Linked DNA regions of Tamandua tetradactyla. The protein of the gene in region 1 purifies or fractionates together with the protein of each later gene. This does not show direct contact. Links are inferred from orthologs where the notes say so. Each region holds a gene or a part of one and is shown on either strand. Other genes may lie near its edges.

Region 1 (7,166 bases):
CAGTTAACAGAATGAAAAGTTCTGTGATCAGATGCCAATACAAACAAACAAGGTATAATTTATCAGAAATAACAATGATTTGCGATAAATGTTACAAGATTCAAACCTGCTAGGTATTCATTAGTGAGGATTAATATCAATATTCCCTAAGGAAACTTTAAGAATCTACTTTGAGACTTTATAAATGTCAAAACAGAGAAAGCGAAACCAAAAAACCTGAAGTACAGTGAGGGGTAGAGAGGGAGAGACACGGAGGAGAAGGAGAAGGGGGTGGGACTGGGGGGTAGAGAGAGAGAGGAGAAAGAGTTTATTATTTTCAATGTCCACATTATCTCACATTTAGACAGGTAGCTGCTAATACAAACCAAGCCAAATTGTTCAAACAATCAAGGAATTGGTATTGCTTTGGGTTCTTACATAATTCAAATGAAACAAACTAAAAAAACAAACAAACAAACAACTTACAGAAAGTACCACAAACTGCTACCATACACACACCCACACATATGCAAATAGTATATACACAGACATATACCCCATAAAAACAAGGAAATGGAACTAATCTCTCCTAATCAAACATAGTTTAAAATATTAATGAAACTATAAATATTTACTAATACAAAAAACTTTAAATCATTACTATAAGGGCCAGTAAATGCTATATAAGCTTGAACAGCTATACACAGGTCAAATTTCAAAAAACAAATTGTCACATACTAAATGGAAACGATATATATGAAAGTTCTTTGCTAAAGCCTCATACTCTGTGAGAACATTTTAAGCCAGATTAGCACATCTACAGTTTATAAAATTCTAACATCAAGTTTTGCTTCTATTCTTTACAAGTAACAGCAAACAGGCCTGCAAAGCAATCCTAAAAAAAAATTAAATAAAAACAAAGAAATGAGAAACTAAAGCTTCTCTATTAAAATATTACAATTAGTTCAGAAAATAACATATAATTCAAAAGGCAACAATGAAGGTATGTGCAGCATTGAAAACTGTTCATAGTGTTTATTTTTTCTAAATGTTTTGATATTTTAATAAGTTCAACCCAGTCTAACAAATTTTATTTGCACAAGGTAATGGGAAAGCAAGATACTAACTTCTTCACTTTTTGCAATTGACTTCAGGTTCAAAGGTATATTTCACTTCTGTGGCATTAAAGTACTTGATTTATACAGTAGCCTTAAATTTGCTACTTACTTAAACATAGCAGGCACTGACATATCCCAAAAAGGATGAAGTTTGAGGGTTTTAAAAGAAAGTGGGGGTAAAAAAGCTGAGGTTTTCATTTCTGATGGTATAAATCTATAATCAAGAGCTTTATTTGTACAGGAACTTTAATGAATCAGTCTCTCTTAATCACATGTAGTAAGCTATTTCTAATGAAACAAACTGTCAGTTATTAAATGCATACCAGTTATACTTTTTTTTAAAATTTTTAATGCAAAGTGACAGTTGGGCACCAAAGAGTATATATTTTCGACTTAGAAGAAAAATACATGTGAAAAATAAATATACAGACTTTAAAGCATATGATTTCACTATCTTTCTGCTGCCAAACTTTGATAGGCCTCATACAGGACAGAAAGGAAAGGGCACACTTAACAATATCTACTGAACTCTTTTGCAATAGCAATGATGACTCTGACCCAAAGAATTATGTGCAGGAGGATAACCTGCAAAAAGAGAATAAGCAGTTAGAAGATACAAAGATGTTGAAAATTACTCGAAGTCATATAAGGTCAATGAGGGGTGGGCAGAGGAGCAAGGCATTCATAATAAAAAAAAAAAGTTTTAAGAGAATATTCAGCAAAAAGCTGGGTTGTCAGAATATCAGAGGACCCTGATGCAAAACTACAAAACTGATTCTAAGAGAAGGAAATCATTTACTCACCATACTATAACAGCTACTTAATTTTTTTAAGTCTCCTAATTCTGCTGCTATTTTATGCACAGAAGAATCCTATGTTTGGAAATTACACAAATTGCATGGAAAAAAACGCACCTTTTAATATACTTTGCAATTAAATATATCGATCAACCAGCACACTTTTTTTTCCAATGGGCAGGCACCAGGAATCGAACCCCAGCACACCTTCTTTATGAACAGAATAAGTGAATAATTTCTTTTCTCCCTTTTGCATGAATAAGTGCATGTTTAATCAAAGTTGTTTTCTTTTAACTTTTCAGCGTGAAATCTGTTTACACACACAGTAAAGCATGACAAATCTACATTTAAAATAAAACATCAAAAGGAATTTCTGTTTGGGCGGGCAACAGTGGCTCAGTGGCAGAGTTCTCGGCTGCCATGCCGGAGACCCAGGTTCGATTCCCACAGCCTGCCCAAGTAAAAAAAAAAAAAGGAATTTCTGGTTATCACTAAAAGTTTATTATGAAAACCTTACAGACATTTCAATAATTAAGGATTAAAATCAATCTGTGTTTTCCCAATGCATTCTGAACAAATCAAAATTCTTTTAAAGAAAATTTTTAACATGTTTGTACAGTTATCTCTAATATAAAACAACAGCATATAATGAATTGTGTTAGGAATACAATATTTTAGCTGAAACACCCTTTCAGAGAGTTTCCCCAGCTTTTACTATGTTATACACCTAAAAAAATGTTTTGTAAATCACAGTCTCCACCCACCCTCTCAGTCATTTACTTCAATGCCACTCCCAGTTACTATCATACTAGCAAGAAGCCTAAGACATGCAACTTCAGTGGCATGGATAAATGACAAAAAATGTCTAGAAAATTGGATTGTTCAGCTTTATAATTTTTGTTGAAAAATGCCCCATCACTTACAACTGATGAAATCAGGAAGCCCTATTCATAAGTATAAAAATCATTGATATATAATCATCCTAATAAGAAAATGAAAATGAGTTCTATACATATGTCCAAACGGGCAAAAAACATCTCAAATATGTTTTCAATTTTTTTCAGGATCAAAATTAGCAAACTGAGATGACTAGCATACTCTGTCTGTGTGCATTATTTTTTACTACATACCTTTTTGTAATTTATTTCAAAGCTTCCATTATAAACAAAAAATACATTTTCCATTAACCCACTCCATCCTGAACTTACACAATCTAAATTACAACATATTTTATTTAATATGTTTATAAGGTATTTAAGATGTCTTATCAAAGACTCTGTCAAAGTTAATAGCCAAATAAACTATTTAAAGAATTATACAACTGAACACATTTCCTTGAAAGTTAAGAATTATTACAATCATAAAGGAAAAGAAGACATCCACTAAACTGCTGTAATTCTTGCCATTCATTTGTATAAGACCCTCAAACTAGTCATAACATAAAAGTTATACATTATAAAAGATATAAAAAATACTTTAAATCTTTATTGTAGGACCTGCTATCTAACACTGATAATACATAAACTAGAGACATGATTTAATATTTGTACAAGAATCCCCAGACTAACACTTTCATGACAGCCAATTACAGTCCAGCCCAACAAGCAGTTTGCCACCAGACCTTAAGGTAAATTTTTTTACAATGAATTACAGGTTCACAAGTTTAAAAAGACAAGAAAAAGAAAAACAGAAGAACTCTAGCCATCCAGCAAATATGAAGCAGACCCCAGAACGTGATACAACCCAAAGATGTAAATTACTGTAAATCATCACTGTTGTTCAGAATTTCACACAGCCACTTGACCCAATTTTGCTCATTTTTCCATAGACACAATAATGAACTAAAAGAAAGAGGCAAAAGAAAAAAAAAAAGGAGGGGGGGAATGGGGGTGGTGACAGAAAGGAAAGACCTTAACTGCAGACTTCAGTTCTACAAATGCTTAACCTTCAGGAGTTTGGGCTCCTTCAGCATTTGTATTCTATCCAAATCCTCATGAGTCACAAAAATTAAAAAGCTATATCCTTTTGGATGCCAGGAAGGGCCTTACCACAAGCCTTTTGTCAGAGAAAGAGAGAGAGAGAGAGAGGGAGAGCAAGAGCAAGGGGGAAAAGCCACAGTGGTAGGCAGTCCCACTTTACTTTGAGTACTGTGAGGTCACAAACCACATGATTCTGTCTCTCCAGTAATAGTGCTTGGAAAAAAAGGAGTTTTAAAGCTTTTGCTTTTTTGGATTGTGTGAATGCTTCATTCGCCTCACAAACAACCACAGAACCACAAGTGCGGTGCAAACTTTCTCCAGGAGGACAGCAAGAAGTCTCTGGTTTTTAAATGGTTAATCTCCGCAGGTCACTACCAGCCACCGAGACCAACAGAGTCAGTGAGTGCTCTCTAACCACAGTCTATGCAGTAATAGTAGGTCCTTCAAATATTTGCTCATTCTTTTTGTTTTGTTTCCCTGCTTTTCACATGTTACCAGCTACATAATTTTTTGACAGAAAAAAATAAATATAAAGTCTATGTACTCCAGGCATATTGTAAAACTAAAACAAGGTTTGGGTATGGTTTGTATTTCCAGTTTAAGGCTGCAAGCAGTATTAACAACAGAGGGTACAAGTTCTATCTGAAAAAAAAGGAGGGACTATGGCATCAAACAGCCTCTTCAGCACAGTGACACCATGTCAGCAAAACTTCTTTTGGGGTAAGTGTTATCATTTTTAAAATCCTATAAGAGATGAACCTGTTAAACATAAATGTATGTTTCTTAGATAAATTGCTAGCTTTTCAGGATAACAGTATATTAAAGATATTAACAATAATACTATTCTGTTGAAGTAAAAAATTGAAAATGAAATTGATGTACATATTTGTATATGGCATCTGTATTCTCTGAATAACTTGAAATGGACAAAAATTAATCATTTTTTATTAATCAAAATGTTTTGGGGGCTATAGAAATAAGAATGCTAAAACAGTAAAAGAAACAGCTTAATATTCTCATTTAACCCTCTCTGCAATAAAATGAAGCACGAAATTAATCAAAGTATTATAAATTATTGACTCCAGAAGCTCGCAATATTTGAGCAAAAACTTCAAAATGGAAGCAATCTTACAAAATAACCGAGCACAGATTTATCCCAACATTATGCTCTACTATGTAAAACAGAGAAAGAAATAAACGTACAATACAGTCAGTATTTGAACCAGCTCAACTAAAAGAACTCTATTTATAATTTTAAACTGAGTAAGATATCTGCACAAGTTTGTTTCTAAACAACTATATAACTGAACCATACATTCAATGAAAATAAAATTGCACTAAGTATATCATAGCCATTTTTAAAAGCTCTTTATAGTTGCCTAGGATATTAAGTTTACAGAAGTCTCTAAAAACTAAAATGGAACTGTATTTTCCTATATAATTTTAATTTTACATTTACACTGTTATCCATACGTAGAATTGTTATAAACACATAGCAAATACTGAAACTTCTAAGATTCTTTTAGTAACATTCTTAGACCTACCAAAATGAATAGCATTTTATTTCATGAAAAATAAAGCTCTATAAGAATACTCTGCATGATTTTAAAGAGCCATGCTTATTAATTTTGCTGGACTTTTAAAAGAAAACAGAAACAATACAGTCTCTTAATTAATTTCAAGTTAGTATTGATATAGATAAGTAAACTACTCCAACCTTCACTAGTTGACATAGTATCACAGCAAAATAGCTAAACACTTACAATGTTTTCTTTATGATGTCCAACATGTTCCAAATACAAAGCAAGTTTTGAAAATATCCTGTTTATCCTTTAAAACAAATCCTTTTGCTGTGTATACCTCTGTAACTTACAACTATTGATTGGAGTTTCCTTTACTCCTCCTCCTCCACACATTTTAACTGGCTAATACTTGAGAATCAGTCTTAGTTTAGGTCAAATAGAAATAATTAAACCTGAAGGGGGGGGAGTTTCACTTAAGGGATGAGGAAATATACTCTATATTTTGCAAAAAAAATCTAAAATTATTGTAGTGGCTCCCTCAATAGCTGTAAGCGAGCTCCCTCAGCAATATAATAATCACAGATTGTTTTTAAAACTTCATGGTGGGTAATTAAGCATTAGTCTAAAAATTTCTGAGTTAAGAAAGTACAACAAATATAACTAGACTGTATTATACCCCATATTATAATTACAGCTTATGCATGCGAACTTTTGCTGTTACTACCTAAGAGATGAGGAAAAAAAGCTGTTTAAAATGATTGTTAGTAGAGGGATAACTTGAACAGGTACATTAAGCAGTTAAGTTACTCTTTAACAATATTACTCTTTTGCAAAAATACATTTCTAACCAGATGAGGAAATAACACAAGCTTGAAGGAAATACTTTAGCATTGGAAGTAAAGCTATTAATATTGGCACAAACGGTATGTTAAAATGCTCCTTATTTGATCATATCAGAGGTTTTATATTTCCCTGATGTCCTTAATAACCATTTCTAGTTAAGATTTCTGAAACTTGACCAAGTTTCTATACAAGGAATAATTGTGAAATAAGCAGATAAAAATCACCTTCTATTGCATGTCATATTTTTAATTAGACATTATAACTAATTCTTCCTCTTCTGAAAAGTGGATTTCACACCCTCCTAACCCCTAAACCCCTCCATAGCATCTTAGAGCCTAAACAGAGAACTTAATATGAGCCCCCTACTTCAACCTAATTACAGGTGGGCAGTGGACAGCGTATCTATGTTATCATCATACTGCAAATATTTCCTCATTCTATAGTCTAATCAAAGTCTAAAACATCACTCAGGCTTTAAATTCTAAAATGAGGATTATAAGCACCAACTAATGCAGTATCCGAAGTATGTGCCCCAAACTTGTGGAATAGCTAAAAAGAAAGTTAAAGGCTTTCCTAGGTGAGGAACAAACCACATGTTAACTGACTGTCTCTCCTCAAATATGAGTGAAAAATGTGTGTGTGTGCGTGTGTGTGTTTGTATGTGTATGAAAGAGAGTGATTCTGTCTCAGTGTTCTTTTCAGAATACCATTTGCCTTGAATTAATCAAGAAATTTTCAAAATCTGTACTCAAAATCTTTTTTCATAAATAAAGCATGTTGAAAATTACAGATGTGACTCATGAAGCATCATATAAATAAAAATTTATTTATGAAAATACAACGGCTAACTGATTAAATTTCTACATGAAACTTTTGCAACTGACCTGAGCAAATGACTGAATATAATGTATGAACCCCAATTTCCAA
Region 2 (7,391 bases), on another chromosome or scaffold:
TGTATGAGTTCTTTCTCTTTTCTTTTTATTTCTTTTTCTGGAGTGATGCAAATGTTCTAAAAATGATCAAGGTGGTGAATACACAAATATGTGATGCTATTGTGAGCCATTGATTGCACACCATGTATAGACTGTATGTGTGTGAAGATTTGTCAATAAAAATATTTGTTAAAAAAATAACCCTTCCCCAATGGCTTCTAAGTGTTCAAGTGAAAGGAAGAGTCCCGCATCTCTTAATTTAAATGAAAAGCTAGAAATGATTAAGCTTAGTAAGGAAGGCGTGTTGAAAGCTGAAACAGGTTAAAAGCTAGGTTTCTTGTGTCAAACAGTTAGCCAAGTTGTGAATGCAAAGGAAAAGTTCTTGAAGGAAATTAAAAGTGCTACTCCAGTGAACACATGAATGATAAGAAAGTGAAACAGTCATTACTGATGTGGAGAAAGTTTTAGCAATCTGGATAGAAGATCAAACTAGCTATAACATTTTTTTAAGTCAAAATCTAACCCAGAGCAAGGCCCTAACCTCTTCAATTTTAGGAAGGCTGAGAGAGGTGAGAAAACTGTAGAAGAGACGTTTGAAGTTAGCAGAGGTTGGTTCATGAGGTTTAAGGAATGAAGCTGTTTCTGCAACATCAAAGTGCAAGGTAAAAAGCAGCAAGTGCTTATTTAGAGCCTACAGCAAGTTATCCAGAAGATCTAGCTAAGATCACTGAGGAAGGTGGCTACACTAAACCACACATTTTCAATGTAGATGAAACAGCCTTCTATTGGAAGAAGATGCCATCAAGGGCTTTCATAGTTAGAGAGAAGAATTCAATGGCTGGTTTCAAAGTTTCATAGGACAGGCTGACTCTCTTGTTAGGGGCTAATGTTAAATTGAAGCCAGTGCTCATTGACCATTCTGAAAATCCTAGCAGCTTTAAGAATTATGTTAAATCTACTCTGCCAGTGCTCTATAAATGGAAGAACAAAGCCTGGATGATACCACATCTGTTTACAACATGAATTACTGAATATCTTAAGCCTACTGTTGAGACCTATTGCTTAGGAAAAAAATATTCCTTTCAAAATAGTACTGCTCATTGAAAATGCCCCTGGTCATCCAAGAGCTTTGATGGAGATGCCCAATGAGATGAATGCTTTCATGCCTGCTAACATAACATCTGTCTGTAGTCCATGGATTTAGGAGTCATTTTGATTTTTAAGTCCTTATTATTTAAGAAATACATTTCATAAGGCTATAGCTGCTATAGATAGGGACTGTGCTGATGGATCTGGGCAAAGGCCACCAAAAACCTCCTGGAAAGGATTCACCATTCTGGATGCCATTAAGAACATTTGCGATTCATGGGAGGAGGTCAAAATATCAACAAGAACAGGAGTTTGGAAGAAGTTGATTCCAACCTTTAGGGATGACTTTGAGGGATTCAAGATTTCAGTGGAGGAAGTAACTGCAGATGCTGTGGAAACAGCAAGAGAACTAGAGTTAGAAGTGGTGCTTGAAGATGCTGTGTGTTGATTGCTCCACTGACTGGCTCTTCCCCCACCTCCCTCCCTCACATCAGGCCTCCTCATTCCCTAAAATGCAACAATCTTGAAATTAGATGTTAATAATCCTTCAATGAATAGAAGTGGTCAATGAGAGGGAGCAGTAAGGGGTATGGGCTGTTTGAGTTTTTTCTCTTTTCTTTTTATTTCTTTTTCTGGACTGATTGCACATGTTCTAAAAATGATCAATACACAATACAAATATGTGTATTCATCTAAATTGTGACTAAATCGCTACACTCTCATGATGAAACTTGAACAGATGAAACGTTGCTTCTTATGGATGAGCAACGAAAGTGGTTCTTGAGATGGAACCTACCCTGGGTGAAGATGCTGAGAACATGGTTGAAATGAAAACAAAAGATTTAGAATATTACATAAGCTTAGAGCCAAGATTTGAGAAGATTGATTCCCATTTTGAAAGAAGTTCTGTGGGCAAAATACTGTCAAACGCTGTCATAGGCTATAAAGAAATCTTGTGAAAGGAAGAGTCAGTCGATACAACAAACTTTATTGTTGCCTGTTTTAAGAAATTCTACAGCCACTCCATTCGTCAGCAACCACCCTGAGCAGTCAACAGCCATCAACATCAAGGCAAGACCTTCCATCAGCAAAAAGATTACAACTTGCTAAAGGCTCAGATGACGGTTAGTACTTTTTAGCTATAAAGTATTTTTTAGTTATACTATGCACAGTTTTTTTTTTTAGACAAAATACAATTGCACACTTACTAGACCAAAGTATTGTGTGAACATAACTTCGAATGCACTGAGAAAACAAAATATTCATGTGACTTGCTTTATTGTGATAATCGCTTTATTGTAGTCGTCTGAACTGAAATCGCAGCATCTCTGAGGTTTGCCTATATACAACCCACATTTAGGTTTTCATAATTGTCCCAATAATGTACCTTTTAAAAAGGTACCTGGGTTTTTATTACCATTTAAAGAAAAAAAACTGTGCAAAGGGCAAAGTCAAATTTCCTAGCATGCATAATATTAATAGTTATTATTTGGGCCCATTAGCACTATGCCATGAAAGGTCAGTATAGGTTAAAAAAAATCATTAGCTTTAAAAAGTCATTTTATAAATTTTCCCCCAATCCAGGATCCAATCAAGGATGGTACACTGTATTAGTTGTCATGTCTTTTTTTTTTAAAAAACAGCTTTATTGAAATACAATTCACATAACATGATTTACCCATTTAAAGGGTAAAGTCCAATGGCTTTTAGTGTATTTACAGACTTGTGCATCCATATATTTTTATCACCCCTAAAATAAACCCCATACCCTTTAGCTATCACTTCCCAAGCCTCTAACCCACCGGCCTTAGGCAACCACCAGTGTACTTTCTGTTGCTATAAACATGTCAATTTTGCACATTTCATATGAACAGAATTATACACCATGTGGTCTTGTGAGTGGCTTATTTTACTTAGCATGTTCCCAAGGTTCATCCATTTTGCAGAATGCATCCATACGTCATTCCTTTTTACGGCTGAATAATATTCCATTGCATAGATATACCACTATTTATTTATCAAAGAAGGGTTTTGAGTGAGCCCAGGAGTGAGCTGATCTGACAAGGACATAATAATGTTCACTTTGGTTGTTCTTCCAGTGAGCAGAGGGATCAGCTCTACTGATAGAGAGAATAATTCCTACTGATAGGGAAAATAAGAGGAGGTCCAATAATTGCCTAGTAATACTTTAACAAAGAAAGGAATTTAATATTCTGATACATAATTTATAAACAGCATTTTACAAGCTTTATGGAATTTGTTGCATTTCCTTTGAATAATTAAAAATGGAATGCAGAAATAATAAGTAACTAAGAATTAAGAATTGAAAATGAATTTAAAAATAATTAAAAACTTTGTAAGGGTACACGAGCAATAGAAGACTACCATTAATTTATGATGCTTGTTGTATTTCCTTTATATTACGAAGGTGGTAACAATTCTTTTGGTCCATGTGAAATTATTCAGAATAATTATTCTCATCTAAGCATAACTCAACATTCTGGTAATTACCCAAAATTTCATGGCAGCATCCAGAGAGTTTGCCAAAAGAAAAACTGACTTACGAAATGCTATTTTCAATGTCTATGCAGATAAAGACGATAAGAACTTCTTTATTTTTGTTTTTGGGGTTAGCGTCAACTAAAAGATTTTCAAAGTGACCATTTAGCGTTTAGAACTCTTTTGTGGCATCTGTCATTATTTGGAGCAACGAAGTTACCTATTCCAATCATTGGATCTCCAATTGGCACAAAACGTTTGATTTAGGGTTTGATGTAAGCACATGGATAGTTACTTGGCTCTTCAGTTCTGGGTACAGTGCAACTTCTAGGGGCCAGCAAATCACTAGGGAGTGAGAGAAGGGCTGTGAAAAATGTCTGGAAAGACTTGTCAAAAATGCTGTCCACGTTTTAGAGCAGCTCGGTGGGCGCGGTTGGATGGGTTAATGCACATTTGAGAAAGTAAACACAGGGAGTACCGAACTTCACTTGCAGCTAATGCCCCACGTCCGCTCCACCAGGACTGAAGGAGGCAGGTTAGGAAGGCCCTGCAGGATACACTGTTTTCTCTCCCAGGAATAACGGGGGCGTGCGGCTGGGGGCGGAGTAAGTCGCTCCGACTGCTCCCCAGCCGCGTCCGCGGGCCCGGGAGGCGCTGCGCTCGCGTGGGGCTCGGCGGGGAATTTGGAGAGGATCCCTGGTCGCTCGGCGGCAGCGGCGGCGGTGGCGCGCGGGTGCGCGTGTGAGCGAGTGAGCGAGCGAGCGGGCAGGCGGGCGAGTTCGCCGGGTATTGGCAGCCGAGGGGTGGAGGCTGGGCGGCTCCGACTCCCTGACGCCAGCGCGACCAGATCAATCCAGGCTCCGCGAACGAGCGGGCGGAGGAAGGAGAGGCCGAGCTGCCCAGCCCAGGCCGAGGCGCTCGCTGGGAGGGAGCCTGCGTGCGGAGCGCGGCGCAGAGCCCGGCCGGCCGGCCCGGGGCCGCGGGGATCCCGTTCGTCCGGCCACTCGTGCGCCCGCGACAACGGGCGCGCCGCCAACTCGGTAAAACGAAACAGACCCGGACCCAACTTTTCTCTTTACCGCGTCCCCGCCCTCCTCTCTGCGCCCTGGGCTTTCTCAGCGCGGCCGCCGCCTCTGCGGCAACAGGCGCGGGCCCTCCGGGGCCACTGCGGTCGTGCGGGGCCGGCGGCGCGGGCTGAGGAGTCCGAGGGGCTCTTCCCGGCGTGGGGCGGACCGGGGAAGCCTGCTCCTCTCTCCTCCCATGATGGCGCCTCCTGGCCGCTCTCAGGAGCTAACCTGCCACCTCCTCTTCCCTTCGCGCCCAGCCGGCGGGGCAGGGTTCGCCTGGGGTTCACCTCGCGTCTTTGTTGGGTCTGCGGTGGGGAAACCGCTGTTCTTCGGCCCCCCTGCATCGCCGCCGGCCCTGCAAGTCCTCTGCGGGCGCCCTCCCCCTGCGCCTGCTCCCGGTTTCTCTTTCCCTTTCTGCAACCGGGCCGAGGCCGTCCGCGCGGCCCGCGGGCCCATTGTGTCCCGCGCCGGCCGGGGCGACCCGTGCGGGAGTTTGGGGACAGACGCCGGCGTTGCCCTTTACGCATTGGGCGCCTCGCGGAGCGGGTCTGGAGGGGGAGGACACCCGGTGCTCCCGGCTCCTCCGCATCCCGGACGTGTTGCCTCCTCTGCCCCTACAAGCCACTTTGGGGTCGAGGTCAAGGAAAGTTCGCACCGACGTTCCCTCGGATTTATTCAGAGGTTTGGCGGCGCGTGAATTTTCTTTCTCTCTCTCTTTTTTTTTCTCTTCCGCCTACACCCCCTGAGTCTTCAAGTGTCGTCTCATTCCTTTCCCTTTACCGGATTCGATTGCCTCACTGCATGTGAATTTGTGAGTTCGTTGTTGAACAACTGTTCATTTTCTCTGCTCCCTGTCTTTGTTAGCATTTCTCGGGATTGTTTCTGTAGGGTGGTGGGGGTGGTAGGTGTGAGAGAGACAGACGTGGGCTTGTTTTTCTAGTTGCTTATTATATATGAAGGCTTAAAGGGAGAGCGTTTCTTTGCTGTACTTAGGGAAGGGAGGAGGAACGAATGCCTGCCGAATGCTACTGCTGCAGTCGCTGCGGCTTTTGTTTATTTGGAGGCGCATGCGATTTTTAAATACACTGTGCAAGATAACCAGTGAGCACTTCCATCTGAAAATTGTGGTCGGTCTCAGAATCGTATCCTGAGGAAAGCTTCATTTTCGTGAGTGCTGTGACAACCAGCCTTTTCTTTCCACTCGTGTTCTTTGCTTTCCATTGTGTATGAAGTTTCAGAGTACGTGGAATGACATAGAAGTTGCCTGATGGGAAGTTGTCTTCCTTTTGCCGAGACTCAGCTGCTAAACCACAGAATGCCTTTATTTCATCTCTTGTTCTAATCGTCGTGGGTAACGCTTCAGTAAGACAGTGAGAAAACTGTTTTCTGCCTGTGTTGATTTTTCGTCTTGTTTATAATGACCACTTTAAATTTTAATGGAGGTAGGTGAGCTATGGTGGAATCACTGGTTAAAGGAATCGAGGCAGAACCAAAGTTTTGCTTCAGCGTTTGACATGCCCCAGCAGTTTCGACGGGTGTAAATGTGTTTGCATCAGTGTTGTGTTATTCTAGTGCAAGACCTAAATATCCTGTAGTGATTGAAGTTTTTGTCCTCCCTCGCCCTCCTTCTTTTCCATTTGCAGTTATTTGATATTTCTGTGCAGGCAGTGACCATTTGTGTGATATTGCAATTCTTGGGAAACTGTAACCAGGGTTGTGAGATGATTTTCTGGAGGTGGGTGATCCTCTAGAGGCTCCAGATGGTATCGGGTTTCCTCTGAGGGTAGGGATTTGTCCTTGATTTAGTTTTGACCCCTCTGACCATAGGTATGTAACTAAATACATTTTTCCTTTTGCAGTGTTCTTTGGTTTTATACCCTCGAAGAGCTGATGACTTTTGCATTTTAGAGAAGTGACACATTTTAGGCAATTAAAAACGTTAATGTCTTAACGCTTTTTGGAATTCAAATAATTTTTTTTTACAAGGACCAGATAAAACGTTAAATAAGTCTTATTTTCCTAAATGCATTTATTAGTTAAAAATTAAATTTCAGTTTCTAATTTTGATTTCTAGTAATTCGGGGTTAAAAATAAAATTTAATAACTTGGTAGATTGGAAAAGGAATAAACTTGAGTCTACTTAGAAGAGCATGTTTAAGCTGCAGTAGTCTACATAATCAAGGCCAAGTCATGTGTGTACAAAAGATCTCATTTGTGTAGTCTTAAAGGCTAATGGAGGCATCATTGAGGCTTTATAAATAATGTAAGTTGTGTATAATGTAGAGTCTCAAGAGACAGCAGAGAAAGCATCATTACCAGCCTTTTCAACCTGCTTGAGATCTTAAATTGATTTACAGCACTGAACTGGTGCAAAATGATACATCAGAATGACATGGGGTCAGCCTGTAAAAGTCTATGATGTCAGCCTATTAGTTCAGTCATCATAATTAAACCGTATTACAGGGGCAGCTAAGCAGGAGTCTGGCATTATACTTCAGATATGGGTGGTACGTGAATTTTGTTTATAGTGAAAAGGCCTACGTGACCAAGACATTAGTGTTTCTGAAATAGGGAAAGGCTTACAGAACTCTTGAGTTTCTGAAAAAAATTGAAGATAAAAGCAGAGATGTTCAGTTTGTAGTGTAGCTTTGCATTTGTAAAGGTAAATGTAGCTTTACATTTGGCAGTAAAGAAATGCTTTGAGGGTGCTGGTAACCGTCTTTGCCGCTCTGATCTCTGTGCTGAATTGTGCTTCAT

Evidence for each region.
Region 2: the proteins of RUNX2 (region 1) and SMAD1 purify together in Homo sapiens (affinity purification with western blotting; 3 studies listed by BioGRID). This does not show direct contact. The link is inferred for Tamandua tetradactyla from reciprocal best matches to the Homo sapiens genes RUNX2 and SMAD1.

Annotation. Positions count from the first base shown.
Region 1 is NC_135331.1:103,056,328-103,063,493, forward strand, and holds the start of RUNX2 (runt-related transcription factor 2), read left to right. Parts: upstream 1-4,155; 5' UTR 4,156-4,268; exon of another isoform or gene 4,269-4,307; intron 4,308-4,470; 5' UTR 4,471-4,535; coding exon 4,536-4,593; intron 4,594-7,166. UniProt on the Homo sapiens protein: Transcription factor involved in osteoblastic differentiation and skeletal morphogenesis. Essential for the maturation of osteoblasts and both intramembranous and endochondral ossification.
Region 2 is NC_135348.1:22,612,637-22,620,027, reverse strand, and holds the start of SMAD1 (mothers against decapentaplegic homolog 1), read left to right. Parts: upstream 1-4,331; 5' UTR 4,332-4,607; intron 4,608-5,118; exon of another isoform or gene 5,119-5,801; intron 5,802-7,391. UniProt on the Homo sapiens protein: Transcriptional modulator that plays a role in various cellular processes, including embryonic development, cell differentiation, and tissue homeostasis.